2 linked regions of the Drosophila melanogaster genome follow. The protein of the gene in region 1 interacts with the protein of each later gene in a pairwise test. Each region holds a gene or a part of one and is shown in the gene's direction. Other genes may lie near its edges.

What was found.
Region 2: the proteins of CG13398 (region 1) and Damm interact in a two-hybrid assay, tested with the Drosophila melanogaster proteins (one large-scale study listed by BioGRID).

The regions. Positions count from the first base shown.
Region 1 is NT_033779.5:8,410,230-8,418,987, reverse strand, and holds CG13398 (uncharacterized protein), read left to right. Parts: upstream 1-3,731; 5' UTR 3,732-4,027; intron 4,028-4,099; 5' UTR 4,100-4,108; coding exon 4,109-5,437; 3' UTR 5,438-6,844; downstream 6,845-8,758. Other genes in the region: Naglu (N-acetyl-alpha-glucosaminidase), read left to right, coding at 7,444-7,701, 7,781-8,758.
Region 2 is NT_033778.4:11,861,822-11,869,780, reverse strand, and holds Damm (death associated molecule related to Mch2 caspase), read left to right. Parts: upstream 1-3,397; 5' UTR 3,398-3,426; coding exon 3,427-3,459; intron 3,460-3,525; coding exon 3,526-3,567; intron 3,568-3,617; coding exon 3,618-3,825; intron 3,826-3,875; coding exon 3,876-4,281; intron 4,282-4,359; coding exon 4,360-4,438; 3' UTR 4,439-4,991; coding exon of another isoform or gene 4,992-5,071; 3' UTR 5,072-5,123; coding exon of another isoform or gene 5,124-5,262; 3' UTR 5,263-5,326; coding exon of another isoform or gene 5,327-5,409; 3' UTR 5,410-5,474; coding exon of another isoform or gene 5,475-5,577; 3' UTR 5,578-5,669; downstream 5,670-7,959. Other genes in the region: CG13185 (uncharacterized protein), read left to right, coding at 24-495, 558-663, 722-1,405, 1,461-1,637; CG42531 (uncharacterized protein), read right to left, coding at 4,992-5,071, 5,124-5,262, 5,327-5,409, 5,475-5,577; Twdlbeta (tweedlebeta), read left to right, coding at 6,566-7,162; CG34230 (uncharacterized protein), read right to left, coding at 7,875-7,936.

The DNA.
Region 1 (8,758 bases):
AATAGGCAAATCCGAAAACCGCAGCAACGAAATCGAACGCCACCAAGAGCTTCAATTTGAATAAAATTCATGATCGGCGGGCGGAATGAGGGATATGATGGAGATCGGATCACATTGGATCCGACCAGGGCCGCTTATCTTCGCCTCGGACGCTATTTGTTTATTTTGGTTTCTGGGGCCTACTGCGATTGATTTTTAGTGCGGACTACACATATATTTCTATTTTCCACATTTCTGTTGATTTGGCATTAATACAATGCCCATTCGGCACGCCAAATGCCTCCCAAAACAACAACACCTACAACACAAAAAAAAAAAAAATTTTAATGTGCACCCCCAGCAATTATGATAGTATGCCTGAAACCATACCGAATTCCTGCGGAATTAGTGGCCTCAAGTGGTCGAACCGAGGGCTATATCACTCGAGTTGTTCGAGAAGAGAACGTGAAATGAAAATCAGCTCAATCTGCAAACGTTTTCCACTCACACAGCCCCAGCAGCAGCACATCACAGCGGCAGCCTTCGAACATCTTTCACACAGATGTTTGCATATTAAATGAGAAATTCGCTCGCTTTCGTAGATATACGAATGTATGGCAGCGGTGACAAAGGACCTCTCAACACTTTGGCTTACACACACACCCATATACATACATATATACGCAGCTACCCATGCTCCCCAATTGAGCTTCGGACTTTGAGCTTCATATGTTTAGCGCACAAATGTGCCCTGGCAGACCGGTGTCTCCGTTCTGCGAATCATTAGATCGTATGGGTTACTTCCAAAATGACCATGCTTACTTACACTCATTTCCAGGAAGTAGCTGCACGAGCATTGATATATAATTACTATGTTGATAAACAAAAGGCATGTTCCTGGAATCTTTCCAGTTGTCAATAACATTACATGCGTTAGTAAATAGTCGAAAATATGTTTTTCGTACATGCTTTGCCACCTTTACTGCACTAAGAAATTCTATAACCGTACGTGAACCATCTATAACTTCTTAGAATATCAAGTTTTACTGTATTGTAATTCCGGAAAAGATTTCTGTTTATTTCCAAATAGTTCGCAGTTAAATTTAAACCCTAATCGACAGCTTTAAGGCCAATTGTGCGATCGAGCATTGCTGGTTAACCGCGAATCGCACTTGACGAAACGGCATGTTTGCCCCCAGTCCCTCCACACCGTATCGCAATGCAATGTTTACTCGAGTTTGAGCAAACGTTGACAAATTCGCCAATAAAGGCGACACCAAAAAGCATTATATGTATATGCTCGTCCTCAGTGAACGACTGGCAAATATGTACACGAAATTCGAGCCGACTTCAAGGGAAAACCCGCCACAAATTCTATGGGGCGCCCTCCCCTCCTCCTTAACAATAAACCAATTTCAAAGATACATTCGGTTGGCGACCGCTACCTGAAATCGCAGCGAAATAATTCAATTTGCTCAAATTTCGGGAGTGGGGAAAATTCAGAATGCAAACTCCATTCCTAATCAAATTTTCAACAGGCAAATTGATAAGATTTTCGGAAATATTTACAGTTTTGGTGCCTAAATTGGGTCACTGACAAATAAATTTGGTCAGGTTAGAACACAAAGAAGAGCATTCATTTTCAAAGAAAAGATTTCAGTAGAGCAATCATGAAATTTCACTTGTCAAATACGTTTTACGTATTAAGTACAGTACAAATATTTAACAATAAAAGTAATTATATACTTAAGAAATATGATTGTGACAAGAACTTGAATTTAAGATCCTTGACAGAGGCTACTAAAATTTAAGGCATTAGCATTCAGCGTTGCAAGTAGATCATAAAATTCTCTTAGCAGTAGTATAAATTGCAGTTGACAATCGAAAATCTTGTGATTGCGCTTCTGCTTCTTCCTCCTCGGCCTCTGCCCACCCACTCCATTCGTAAAGGACTCACACATGCAGCGAGGCACGCACACAGGCACACTACCCCAGGCACGCAAGCACATACACCACACACACAAAGACATGTAGGCGACGCCAGTTAGGGCGGTGGCTGTCTGCCCGTCTGCGATTGAGCGATTGAACGACTGAGTGACGGACGGACGGACGAACTGACAAACCGACGCTGCAGAAAGTGCGACGCAGTTTTTCGCAACAAAAGTGTAGGAAAAACAAAAAGACGATCCTCCTCGTATCGATAATCTGAGTAAACCGAGACGCAAAAGGGATCGAAACGTATACAAAGATCAAATGGCCACAGTGGGCACTCGCTATGTGCGTGCACCTTGCACAAGGATGTTTGGCTGAGAAGGTAGAAACATGTTGGCAAGTGTAATCAGGCGTACAATGCAAACAAAGAGGAGACAACGACAATGAACCAGAAGTCAAGGCGAAGCGATGGCACAAAGGACCAGAGCGATGAGCGGGCGAGGCGAAGGAAGGCGAGGCACAAAAAGGAGAGAGCGCTAGATTGAGCCGAAGAGACAAAGAGAGAGAGAGAGAGCGAGACGGATACGGATACAAAGCCACACCGGCATGGTGTTTGCCTCTGCCGCCGTCACTGCCTGCGCTGCTGCTGCGGACGCCGACGTGGTGGCAACGCCGACGCATTGAAGGCGGCACACCCAAAAATTTTGTAAAAAGGCAACTACTCCAAGGTGGCGAAATTCGAATGCTGTATTTTGCGGGGGCGGGGTTAATGACAAAGAAAGTTCTCCTTAAATGCATAAAACTCCATTTAAATATCTCTTTTAGTCTTCGCTTCTCCCATTCTTCACCGTTCACGCACACTAAGCCGCCTTCCATGGCGTCCTTTTTCCTGCCTGTGTGTGTGAGCGTCGGCGGGCGTCTCTTTTACAAACACTTGTGCCTCAAATACAGTTACCATTTTTGAAACCAGTTAGAAACTTTTCGTCAATAACTCTTTGTCTCCTTTTCAATCACAATTCCTTTAAACAAACACGAAATTCAAAGCGGGTATAGAGAATTTCAAAAGTAGCACCACTCACGCACACACACACACGCAAGCCGTCTGCCTGCTTGGCTTTGGTTTCTTTTTCATTTATTTTTTTAAATTAACTCCTTTATGTTCTGATCTTATGACTTAAAGTGGAATTTACCTGGCTCGATTCTCTCGGTTTCGGTTTAAAAACACACGCACTTGCTTCTTTCTTTGCTTTGCGATTCTACACTGGCAGCAGCTCTTTTTGCCTGCTTTCCGTTTCGGTTTCTTTTCTCGTTCTTGTTGCGCGCTCCACAAATAAAAAATGTCCGCTCGGGTCTGGTATTTACGTCGCGTTAGGATGTTTTCGCAGTTAGAACGCGTTAGGGCTTCGGGTCTAGTTATAGTGCTGTCCACAAAGTTGATGTTCCGCCAAATGGTTAACCATACAATTAAGATGACTAAAATGCCTTAACTTAAAATTTTTTTATAAATTATATTTGTTTACATCTGAATCCTATTTATTACTTGTTAATTGCAGTAAACATTTGCAGAAACGTAAAAATTACGACGTAAGAAATCTTCAAGATTATTCTATTAAACGAGAGAAAACTTCTATTAAGCTGACATTTGCAATATTTTTCTATAAATTTTGAAATATTAATATTTCCTTGGCTTAAACTTGGCTAAACTAGTTTTTCATTCTTTAAGTGTAATTACTTGTAATTTGTCTTTGATTTTCCGTTTACTTTTTTAAAAAGCGTTTCTTGTAAGTCTTTTTGCGAAAATCAAGTTAGCATGCCCGTTGCTCACAATTGCGTTCTGTCGGGCGAGGGGAAAAGTCGCAGAAGAAATTTTATACCACAAGAACGGAATTTCCGTGGCCAAATAACAACAATCAGCCAGCAGTCCCGTCGATCAGGAGTTAACCAAAGCAGGAGGAGTCAACCAGGATAACAGCAACACAATTCGACTGCACCCCAGAGCCTCCAGTTCCACTGGGTAGCTGATTTCAGCTGGTGGAGGCGGTGGGTGGTGCTCTTATCGGCCTGCGATTTCTTCCATGCCCGCTGCGATAACAGCCAGGCGGACTTGCCTGTCCAGGTGTGCATTTCAATAGGCACTGTACATGACTGGAGTGGATAATCCTTCAATGCATAATACTCCGTCTTTCAGTGCAACACCATGGGCTGCATCACCAGCAGCAGCAAGTTAAATGAGCTGCGCGGTCATGAGAATGTGTTTCGAGTGCGAGTGGCTCACCTGCAACCCACCCCGGGTACGCCCATCATCCGGAGTGGCTACCTGGAGCTAACGCCCCGGGAACTAATATTCCAGTCGCCTGGCTGTGAGCCCATTGTCTGGGCACTGCAACACCTCCGACGTTATGGGTTGAATAACGATCTCTTCTCCTTCGAAGCAGGACGTAGGTGTATGTCTGGGCCAGGGATCTACACGTTTCGAGTCCACAATGCCGAGCAGCTGTATCCGATGTTTCAGCGCTACATCAACGCGGTGAATACAGATGCCTTTGTGCAGGGCGAACGAGAAAGGGTTAACTCCGCTCATTCGGTGTCCGTAAATATGGGCCGTACTGAGGGCAATAACTATCTAGAGCCGGCTCCCCTAATGAGCCGCCAGTTGGGCAACTTCCACAGTGAGCCCTCGAGCACAAGTGCATCGTATCCGCTGCAGGCCAACGATTCGCAAGTCGATGACTCTCCGCCCAATTTGCAATCACCAGTCCTGATACCCAGTGCCTATTTGGATCAGCCATTGCGGGCTTTGCAGGACTGTTGTCTGGAAGGCACCGCCTCGGATTTGCTTTCCACCCCGCCCTCCGGCAATAGGTTGACATCACGTAGGCGCACGATGGACTTGCCACCTCTGGAATCGGCCCCAGCACCAGCTCCAGTTCTGAGTCCCAACGATGCTGTGCACATGTACGCCAATGTGGAAGCTCTGATCTTTGATCTGAACAATGAGCGCTGCTATGAGAACGTAAATCGCTTGGAGCTCCCTCTGCTGCCGAGGGAACCAATTTCCAATCAAGAGCCGGCCACGCCCACCAGCTTAGCGGGCAGCTGCGGAGTAAACTATATAGTGCTGGATCTTGATCAGCCGCGAAGTCCCGTGGGACCGGCGGGTTCATCAAAGGCGATCAATGGATTTGGCAGCGGCTTATCACTGATCTCCACCCCAGCAGCTGTCACCGCACCAGTAACTCCAGAGGCAGGTACTACGTTGGACGTTCCCCCACCGCCCATGCAGACCCAAAGCCTGAATAGCATCTCTGCTGATACGGGAGATACGCAGGCGAAGAAGGTAACAGAATGCTCCGGGACACAAGGCTATTCAACCATCGACTTCATCCGCACATACGCGTTGAACAAGTCTTCGACTGAACTGCCAGAAACAGTGACGCATCGACAGCATTCGTCGCACGATGCCGAGGAGCTGAGAATCACCAGGCACAGCAAGTGCATACGAAAGGCTTACTCCATAAGTGAGTGAATTGGAGGCAGCAGGAATAGGATTGGTGGAGGAGACCGCGAGTGCACAACGAATTTACAGAAAGCATAATGGACACCAGATCGCTGGCGAAATGGATCTAACCCCACATTTATTTGTGCCAAATCTGAGTACCAAAAAGATGTAAGGAGCTTTTGAAAGAAAAATCATAATGCCGGGAAGTAAAGAGGACAACAGATCACGAAGAAAGGAAAAACAGCCAGATCGGAAAGAGTACAAAAGTAAAAGAACAGTGGCCACAAGATTTGTTAGGTCCTAATTGTTAAATGCTCGATTTAAAGTAAACCAACTAAAGTGACCAACTGACCAACTATGAAGATGAAAGCGTATAAAAACACATGCTGTGCAACTTAAAAGTTGAGCAGATCAAATGGATAGCTTGTTAAAAAATATCGAGATTAACTACTAAAATTAACCACACATGGGATCAAACAGGATTTTATTGATACAGCATACAATATTTTAATGTTTCCAAATGACGTTTTAACTTTTTTGCCCACAAATTTTCGTGATGCTGTTACTTTTGATTTTGAAAAGCATACTTAAGAAGGAGCTAAGTAACTTTCCTACTATTTTCAATGGATTTTCAAGGGAATATGATAAAATTGAAATGGATCTCTCTCGGATTGGGGAGTAAAAAGCTATGGAGGTTGAAAAGAACGTGTTGCACAACGAATTTACTGCACGAGATTGTGGTAAAGTGAAATTTGAAGAGTGATTTGTCCAAAGATATGTTTGCTTCCAACTGCGCCAAGCTAAAACGCAAACGATTAACAATATTATAACCAGGTTGTTTTTTGTAGTCAGTACAGTAAACTCACACAGCCAAAAAACCAAAACACATAGACATGAATTGCATACGTACATAACTTGTATTTAAGGATATTAACAATAGCATTACTTAGCGATTAGTTGATTTGTGTAATTGCCAGCGGCTGTTTAGAGCTAGTCATTTTTGATTTTGTGCATATAAAATAGTGAGCAACACGAAAGGCTTTTAACATTAAAATTGTACATGGTAGATATGGTAAGAGTAGCTCATAAGCACCAGAAGATACATCATCGACGTACACGTACGTTTGTTGTTGGCCAAGGCTTTGAAATTGTATTCTGTTGCCAAACAAAAAAAAAAAAAAAAAAACAATGGTAGAAAGCATCGCGTTGCATTGTCCGCTGTGAGTTTATAATTTTTTACATATATATATCGCTGAATTGTTATTCAATTTGTTAGGAGTTATATACACTGAGCATTCATCGTTTCACACGAACGAGAAGAAATGAATGTTCTTTCGTTTACATGTACTTAAAATCGCTGCTTAGTCGGCGGCATAAACTAAATTATTGTTAGTGTCTAAGACGAAATACGTGCAATAAAGCTCAAATGACCCTGTATATATACTATATATTTTTTGATATTTTCCGAGATATATGGATTTGCCTTGCGATTTTCAGTTAATTTCTTAACAAATGCATTATAACACGGATTACAATATAAGGATATCGACGAAGACCAACATTTAAATACCATTCTAAATTGTATAGTTTCCAAAATCTGACGTTCTTTGTTTTTTGTTGCATAAATATCAAACAATTATTTTAGTTGATAATATATTTTTTACCTTTTCATTGCTTACCAATTAATTTTAAATCAGAACTTAATATTATTTTTAAAACTCAATAAGGGAAAAATTGATCTACAAACTTCTTATCAAAGTTGTAATATACTCTTAGTGAGTGTATCCGATGATCCCTCGCATTTCAGAACTCTACTGCGTCATTGTTCAATCTGGCGATAAGAAGAAAGTGATCGGAATCCAGCTGCTCTTCTCTTCCATTGTGTTCTCATCGGGTTCACTTAGCGCTCTTTCCTCCGTTCCCGCATTCTTCGGGAGAGCCCCAATTGCGAGAGAAGGAGAAGCTGTCAGTCAGTCAGTCACTTGGGCCCCGTTGACATTGACACACACGGCAGTAAATAGACGGACGGAGAAATGCAGCTGAATTGGAAGCTGGCCTTGGCCTTGCTAGCGGTGCTTTGCCTGCAACTCGCGCAGGGATCAGAACTTAACTGGGATGCGGCTTCAGGTCCTGAAATGGGACTCCAAATGGCTGCCCACTTGGCACCCAGCACACCCAAAGATGTCCAGGAAACCGCAGCCATGGCGGTAATCAGTAGAGTAATCGGCGAACGATCTTCTCAATTGTTTAAGGTGCAAGTCAATAAAAATATGGATTTACGAAGCTTTCAGGTAATAATATTTATTTATTAAGTATTTACTTTTAAGTAAATAAACAATACAAATGTTTCAATCTTTAAATACCTTACAGATTAGCATGTTGGATGATGGCCGGATTCTGCTGATGGGATGGGATGGTGTTTCCGTGTGCAAGGCCCTCCATCACTACCTCAAATATGTTTTAAACAAGGACGTGGATTGGTTCAAGATGCGCATTGAGTTGCCCACCAATTTGCAGCTGCCCAATGTGACCATCGAGTCCAAGTCAGCAAGCCCGATTATCTATCACCAGAACGTGTGCACTTGGAGCTATAGCTTTGCATGGTGGGGCATTGAGCAGTGGCGCCGTCACCTGGACTGGATGGCCCTGATGGGCATCAGTCTGACTATTGCGCCGGTCCAGGAAGCCATTTGGGTGAAGGTGTACACGGATATGGGCCTCAGGATGGAGGAAATCGACGAGCATCTGGCTGGACCAGCTTTTCAGGCCTGGCAGCGCATGGGCAACATACGGGGATGGGCGGGACCACTGACACCGGCATGGCGACGCTATCAATTACTCCTCCAGCAGGAGATTATCACTGCCCAACGCAATCTGGGCATGAGCGTGGCCTTGCCCGCCTTTGCTGGTCATGTGCCACGTGCTCTGAAGCGTCTGAATCCCGAATCGACGTTCATGGAAGTGCAGCGATGGAACCAGTTCCCCGATCGATACTGCTGCGGTTTATTTGTGGAACCCACGGAGAATCTTTTCAAGGAGATAGCCTCGCGTTTTTTGCATAATATCATTACGAAATATGGTTCGAATCACATCTTCTTCTGCGATCCCTTCAACGAACTGGAGCCACCGGTAGCCAAGCCGGAATACATGCGTTCAACGGCGGCGGCGATTTATGAATCTATGCGCGGCATTGATCCTCAGGCCATTTGGTTGCTTCAGGGCTGGATGTTCGTGAAGAATCCCTTTTGGACCACGGACATGGCTGAAGCTTTCCTCACGGCCGCACCACGTGGTCGCATTTTGGTGCTCGATCTGCAGAGCGAACAGTTTCCGCAATACGAGCTAACG
Region 2 (7,959 bases), on another chromosome or scaffold:
AATTTCTCAATAAACATTTGCAGGTGAGGCGGAGCAGAACAAATTGAAACAGCTAAAGACAATTGATCAACTGAAGGACTCAAAGGAATCCGACGATGCCGAGCAGGAGAAACCGGAACCCATGGACCAGACGGAGGCTGAGGAGTACCAGCATGTAAAAGAGCCGAAAAACAGCGACAAAACCACGTTGGACAATGCTACCGAAGAACAATCAAAGAAGATCCAGCATCAGGAGGATGAGCCACCAAACGAAGAGGAAATAGAGGCGGAAAATGTTGACGAGTTAATGGAGGCCGAAGAGCCAGCCGTTGATCCGGAAGATGATGCTGAACTCGAGCAACTGGGGGCTGAGAAGACGGAGCAAAAGTCCGACAAACCCTCTAAAACAGAAAAGTCTAAGGAGCAGTTGGAGACCCCTGAAGGAATGGAGATAGAAGGGGAGGTGGTGCTGACTATGACGGTTCCTCGTAGCTCGGAGACTACTGCGCATAGCAAGTGAGTAATATATCCATTGTTTACCGCTTTTTTATTTTAATAGTTTTTTTTTTATTCAACAGTTCCGAAATCCTTCTGGATAAGAGCTCACACGCGGAGGATCTGAGCTCAGCCGAACAAATTGAGCTTAGGCAACAGTACCAAAAGCAGTTGACCACATTCAGAGTAGTAAGTTGCACCTTTCATAATAAATTAGCCGTACCTGTTACTTATTTGTTACTTACAGGCACAGCCGGAGCACGAGGATTACGAAACATGGCAGGGCATCTCCAATAGAATGACCCAGAATGCCCGTGAGCTTTGCGAACAGTTGCGTCTTATTCTGGAGCCCACGAAGTGCACACGGTTAAAGGGCGACTACCGCACTGGAAGACGTATTAATATGAAAAAAATTATTCCATACATCGCCTCGCAGTTCCGCAAGGACAAGATCTGGTTGCGACGAACCAAGCCTGCGCAGCGTGACTATAAGATCACCATTGCCATTGATGACTCCAAGTCGATGCACCACAACAACTCCAAGACGCTGACTCTGGAGGCAATCTCGCTTGTGTCGCAGGCGCTAACCCTTCTAGAGAGTGGTCGTCTTAGCATTGTATCTTTTGGGGAGGCGCCGCAGATCATACTAAATCACACGGAGCAGTTTGACGGTCCCCGCTTGGTAAATGCTCTGAACTTCGCTCAGGACAAGACAAAGATCGCCGGGCTGCTGAACTTTATACGCACGGCAAATGCAGAAGAGAGTGGCACGGGGGGCGATAATGGTCTGTTTGAAAACCTTTTGCTCATTCTCAGCGATGGACGTAATATATTCAGCGAAGGTGCACAGAACGTAAAGAACGCCATTAAGTTGGCGCGTCTGCAGCGCATCTTCCTGGTATACATCATTATCGATAATCCAGACAATAAGGTAATGGGTTTTCAAGAACATTCAATGAGTTTAACTAATCCTTGGCTACCTTTAGAACTCAATTCTGGACATACAACATGTGGCGGTGAACGCAGATGGATCAGTGAACATTAATTCCTACCTGGACAGTTTTCCTTTTCCGTACTATGTGATAGTCCGGGACCTTAACCAGCTGCCGCTGGTGCTCAGCGAAGCCATGAGACAATGGTTCGAGTTGGTTAACAGCGAGTAATCATTGCATTTACTCTTGAGATAAAAAGAAGTGACTTTTACTTATTAATATTAATACAGGCTTGAATATTTAGCCCACTTAGTTATATTTCACATGTAAATATTAACTTGTACAAACTGAAAATGTGACCGAGTGTACGATTGTTCACTAATGCTTTTATAATTTACTTGAAATTGTTACTTTTTTTATTTTTTACAATTAAACTTTTGTAAACAGTATAAAGTTAGATTATATAAACATTAAACGATTCTAAGGTGCTTATATCGTTATCGCACTGGGCCTTGATCTTCAATCATTGTTGTGAAAAGCTGTAAAAAAAGTTTCGGATAGCAAACTACGAGTATATAACATGAAGGTAAGTATTACACCTGAAGTATGTTGGGTAAATGATAGGTAGAATTAATAAATTGAACTTAGCCAAGTACTACTAGTCAACTATAAGGTAAACAATAAATTCCAGTTTGACCAATATATCTATATCTATCTATCTATAGATCATATAGCTGTATGCAGTTGAATCGGTCGTTTTACATTACACAGACCAGAAAGTAACTTGGTTTTATTTTAAAGAAATAGGTTTATAACTCATTAAGCGTTTTTAACATAATTTCCAAAATAAAAGGGCTTATCGAAGTTGTGCAACTCCTCAGAACAAACTTGTTTCGAACTGAAAAACAGAGAAAAGCTGGTAGTACACCATATAGTTACATCCTGCTGCCACACTGCTTATCCTAGTAAAACTTATCCTGTCTTAGTTGACCTTCGTACGACCTCAGACTCAACATGCTTAAAGATCGACCGAAAGTCCCTGGTAAGGCCATATTGGTCCATTGCCTCGCACAAAGTTCGTATGAAAAACGAACCATGATTTTCATTGCGATAGCTCAAATAGGGTTCGTTGTTGCTCAAGATTAGGAGGATAAATCCAGCCTCCTGGGTGAATTGTTTTTCAGACCCTTAAAGAAATTCGTTACTAAGAATAAAACCGTTTGCTCATATTTCTTACACTCCTTCACTTTGTTTCTAACGACCGCCAAAGCTGGATTAGAAATTACTTCAACAGGACATTTTAGGCTTTCAAATGTCTTGCGAAGAGCATTGGCATCATTTGAGCTACCCCTTTTGTTCAATTGAGAATCCTGAGGGAACTCCTCATGTTGAGAATGTACACAATTGGAGGCTTAAGTTTTTTGATTAAATCATATAGTCTGTCAATTTGTAGCAATACGTACTTTTTGATGTTCAATTCCTTGAAAAAGATCCATGTTTCTTGTTCCCCGATCTAAATTTAACTGAGTAATACATAAAGGCCCGTATTAGATTTATGGCACAATCATATTCATCGACAAATGCAAGTACAACTTGGGTGTTTATTGTTATTTCCCGATTATAAAGGTATTGCCGATTGTTGCCTTTTTATACCCTCTTACCCTACTTTATTACTTAATTAACCTACTTACTTAATTAATTGGCTGTGCTTTTAACATTTGCACAGATGAAGTCGGTGGTGAAAACCCAAAAGAGTCAACGGGAGAAAAGACAGCAAAAGACAGGCAAGACAGCCTGTTGACGAGTTATCTTCTATTCTACGAGTGGCGGGTAGATAAAGTCAGAAGGTCAGTAAAGGAAGTTTTAATCGGAAAATAGTAACTCAATTTGTACTTTTTTTGTCGATGAACAAATCCGGATGTTGGCTATATAGCTGGCCAGATAGTGACTGATAAGACAACAAATATTGCACTTGCTTTTGTGCATTACTCAGTTAACGTTATATCGCCGAACAGTAAACATGTATCTGCCCGAAAGAACAGAACATCAAAAAGTACGTATTGTTATTATTATTATTTTAAGAAACTTAATGGTCTTTACGAAAAATCCATTGATACAGATTGAGAGACTATATGACAGCAACAGGGTCAACGCTGAACCAGTAAGTATAAATTGAAGAAAATCACAAATCATCCATTGAATTTTCCTTAGGGTCAAGGCCTTGATTTAAATGAAAAACTAAAGCCGCCAGCCGTGTACATTCTGAATCATGAGCAGTTCCCTCAGGATTCTCAATTGAACAGAAAGGGTAGCTCAAATGATGTCAATGCTCTTCGCAAAACATTCGAAAGCCTAAAATGTCGAGTTGAAGTTATTTCTAACCCAGCGTTGCCGGACGTTAAAAACAAAGTGAAGGAGTGTAAGAAATATGAGCAAACGGTTTTATTCTTAGTAACGAATTTCTTCAAGGGTCTGCAAAACGATTCACCCAGGACGCTGGATTTGTCCTCTTTATCTTGAGCCATGGCGACCGAAAAGAGAAAATCTTGGCATGCGACCACAGGGAATACCACTTGGACGATGACGTCCTTTTTCCCCTCTTTAGAAATCCAACCTTATCTGGCAAGCCAAAAATTTTAATTGTTCAAGCCTGCAAGGGTCCGTTGAGAGCTGACGCGAAAAAAATGAACAACGAACCCTATATTAAGTGTTACAGCTGCTCCGAGGGCTATTTGAGCTATCGCAATGAAAATCATGGTTCGGTTTTCATACAAACCTTGTGCGAGGCAATGGACCAATATGGCCTTACCAGGGACTTTCAGTCGATCTTTAAGCATGTTAAGGCTGAGGTCGAACGAAGGTCAACTATGACAGGGTAAGTTTTACTAGGATAAGCAGTGTGGCAACAGGATGTAACTATATGATGTACTTCCTGCTTTTCTCTGTTTTTCAGTTCGAAACAAGTTCCTTCTGAGGAGTCGCACAACTTCGACAAACCCTTTTATTTTGGAAATTATGCTAAAAACACTTAATGAGTTGAGTTATATATTAAAGAATTTCTTTAAAATATATTTAAGATACTTTCTGGTCAGAGTAAAGTTAAATGACAGATTCAACTGATCCATATATTTACTTTCACTTTGTCAAACTGTAATTTACTGTGTTGATATCTTATCTTTAAATAAATCAATCGAAGCGGAACCCGGAGATAATGTTAAGTGTTCAAGGAAGTGGGTAAGCAAGTGGGTAGGCATTATAACGCGCTTACCTATTTATCAAACTTTATTTACCAATATACAAAATATATCTGTGGACGGCAGTCAACTTAGTGACGAAGCGCACCTGGAATTTACAAAGCTCTGACATGGTTGATTGTAAAAAGTACTGTACAATAGATTTTTTTTTATAATATTTTTAATTTCGAATCCGATTTGCTAGGGATAATCTCAATTTTATTTGAGTTCACCAAAAAATCATGAATGAATTTTACAATTAACTTAAATACTATTGAGATCATAAGCACCTAGAAAAACAGATAGCACAATCCAGACCCACAAGGCAATTTTATTCTTTCTGCGTAAGCTGTTAAACTTCCAGGACGTCTTCGGGATCTCTGACTTCGACATAATACGAGTAGACGACAATCCAGAAGTAGATACCACAGCCTGAAAAGGATGTTCTTTAAGGATGCAGTAACTCACAAAAATAACAACTTACATATATATATTGCAGATCCTGGGACTATTATCTCGCGGTACCGCTCCTCCTTAATCAGCATGTAGATGCAGTACACAAACAGGATCATACAGTTGGTCAGGCTAGTGATCAGGAAGAACATCAGGAGAACAGTTGATCTCTATAGTGGTTTAGCTTGGAGATGGGATCGGCTGCAGTGGGTGCCAAACAGTGGCTGCACTTACGATTAAAGCTCCGCCCAGCAGGAATGTGCAGCCGATACAATGGCAGATTGCCACCGCTTGCTCAATGTGTGCGATGAACTCCTCTAGATGAAGGTGGGATGCATTACCAGGGTGATCATTTAAATGGATCTGCCAGCCCCAAACTTACGACCCGCCAAGTTAAGCACCACTAAGTTAATGATGAAGTCCACGATGGCTATGATGATGCAGGCTCTGCGCAATTTAATGCAGAAACAGCATTTTTTCACCATTTTACAATTTTTATCTAGACAACTCCATAAACTGATTAGAAAAGCAGAGCTACTGTCAGAGAACCACAGTTTATATTACAACTAGTACTGTTAAAAAAAAAAAAAAAAAAAAAACGTAAGACATGGGAACAAACCGTTCTTATAGAGTTTGCCAAATAATAGAAGCTACGTATCTGTTACTTATCTATTAAATACGTATTATCATGACATATTGTGAGCGAATTGCGAATATTCCAGTCGCATTGGTTTCAGTGCATTATGACTTTCATTTCGAGTTGGGGGTTTTTAAGCTAAAAAGCACATTGTGTGCTTATACTACTCGAATATCACTTGGGACTGCCAGCGTTAAAATAAGTAGATAATTTACCGAAATAATGCTTGTTGATTCTACATGTCAGAAATGAATTTAATTTTCATTATTTCACATTTGGTTACTTCTTGTTCGCGGGTTAGTAACCTCTTTATGAAGTTGGCGCCCCATAAATACCTTAGTGTAGATCATGGAACCCAATGACCGTCCCTGGCCGACCAATGCAATGTGCGAGTTACATAATAAATTACAAGTGAACATCGCAATCGAGCATTAAGGCGAATGCTTTTGGCAAATATTGGCCGAAAAGGGGCCGGGAAGACCCAAAAACAGAACGTGACGACGACGGGCCCCTCCCTTTGATCTGGTTTGCCTGTGCAGTTTTCAGTTTCGTTTTCATCAGCCGAATTTCGGATACGAACCCGAATCGGAAACGGAATCTATGTCCACACTGGGCATCGAAAACGAAATCGAAATGGGCACAGTGCGCCAGCTAATTTGTATGCATCGCGCATTGCTGGCGGGGATTGAAGAGCTGCGCGTAACGCGATTGGGAAGCCATCGGAAATATTATGCAAGGGCGGGGGAGCTACGCATTGCTGAGGTGGCGGATTCATATAAAACACTCGATTGACCTGCAGCAGTAGCTTCATTCGCAGCCGAACCATCGACATCAGCATGCAGACGCAGTGTATCCTCCTTCTCTTGGCCGCCAGTCTGGCCATATGTGTGGCGCGTCCGGAACCACCTAGATCGCGTTACGGACCGCCGCCACCGCCGGCTCCCCAAAAGGAATACGGTCCTCCGGCCCCGGCAGCACAGCCTCTACCCGTTTACGGACCACCAGCCGCCTTCTACGGACCACCAGCCGCCTCGGAGGCGCTCGTGACCAAGAACGTGTACGTGCATGTGCCGCCAGAGGAGCCAGAGTTCTATCCGGCCTCGTCGCCCATCCAGACGGCCGTTCCCAAGAAGCACTACAAGATCATCTTCATCAAGGCGCCCAACCCTCCGACCCCTGTGCGCCAGGTGCTCCCTCCTCCGGTCCAGGATGAGCACAAGACCCTTGTGTATGTTCTGGTCAAGAAGCCCGAGGAGCAGCAGCCCGTCATCCTGCCCGCTCCAGAGCCCACAGAGCCCAGCAAGCCAGAGGTCTACTTCATCAAGTATAAGCAGCAGCAGGCCAAGCCGGCCACCCAGTACGGCCCACCACCGTCCGCCCCATCCGAGGAGTACGGAGCACCACCTGCCCCCCGCACCGTCGAGCAGTTCTAGTTTGTAGTGTCGTCTAGGTCTACAGCCCATGAATGTAAATATTATTTATGATCGCTGCCATTAAAGAGAGTTTAGAGAAAGCAAAATCAGCCGGATCTTAAAGTCCTTGGGATATTGATGAAAAAATTATTATAGCGGTTACAGTATTTCATATTACTACCTTGAAGTCATGAGCGCTCCATTCGTTGCGGATCCAGAAATCTTGAGATACGATCATCAATCAGTGCATCTTAACAAAGGCACTCGATATTTTTTTTATTTACCAGGAGCACGCATTGAATACAAATGAGGTTACTGCGCAAGTTATTGGGTACCGATAATTGGGAAAGCAATAATTTATATTGCTCAATTATGCATTACTCGTTATTAACGTCGAATACAATATTCAACTTTCAATTTGTTTATTTGGTTACTTAGGTCAAGATTGCAAAAGCGCATTGAACAATGGATTACAACATGGATTTCCCTTAAAATTGTTAAAAATGTATGTAAAGCGTTAAAAATATTTATCATTATTGCAAGATGTTGCAGAAAAAGAAAGTAAAAATTGACCGGAAATTGAAGATATTATGGTTAGATAATTTCCAAATATACTATATGTTTGCCAAAAAAGGTTATAAATTACTTTATTTTATATCCAAAATGATAGAACATTGAAAGAATAAATTTTATAAGGACCAATATTTAACAATATACTGTAAAATTTACAAGCTCACGCGTCCTTTAAGCGATCATAATAGGAGTAGACCACCAGCCAAAAGTACAAGCCTAGAACTGGAAAAGGATTTGGCCAAGTT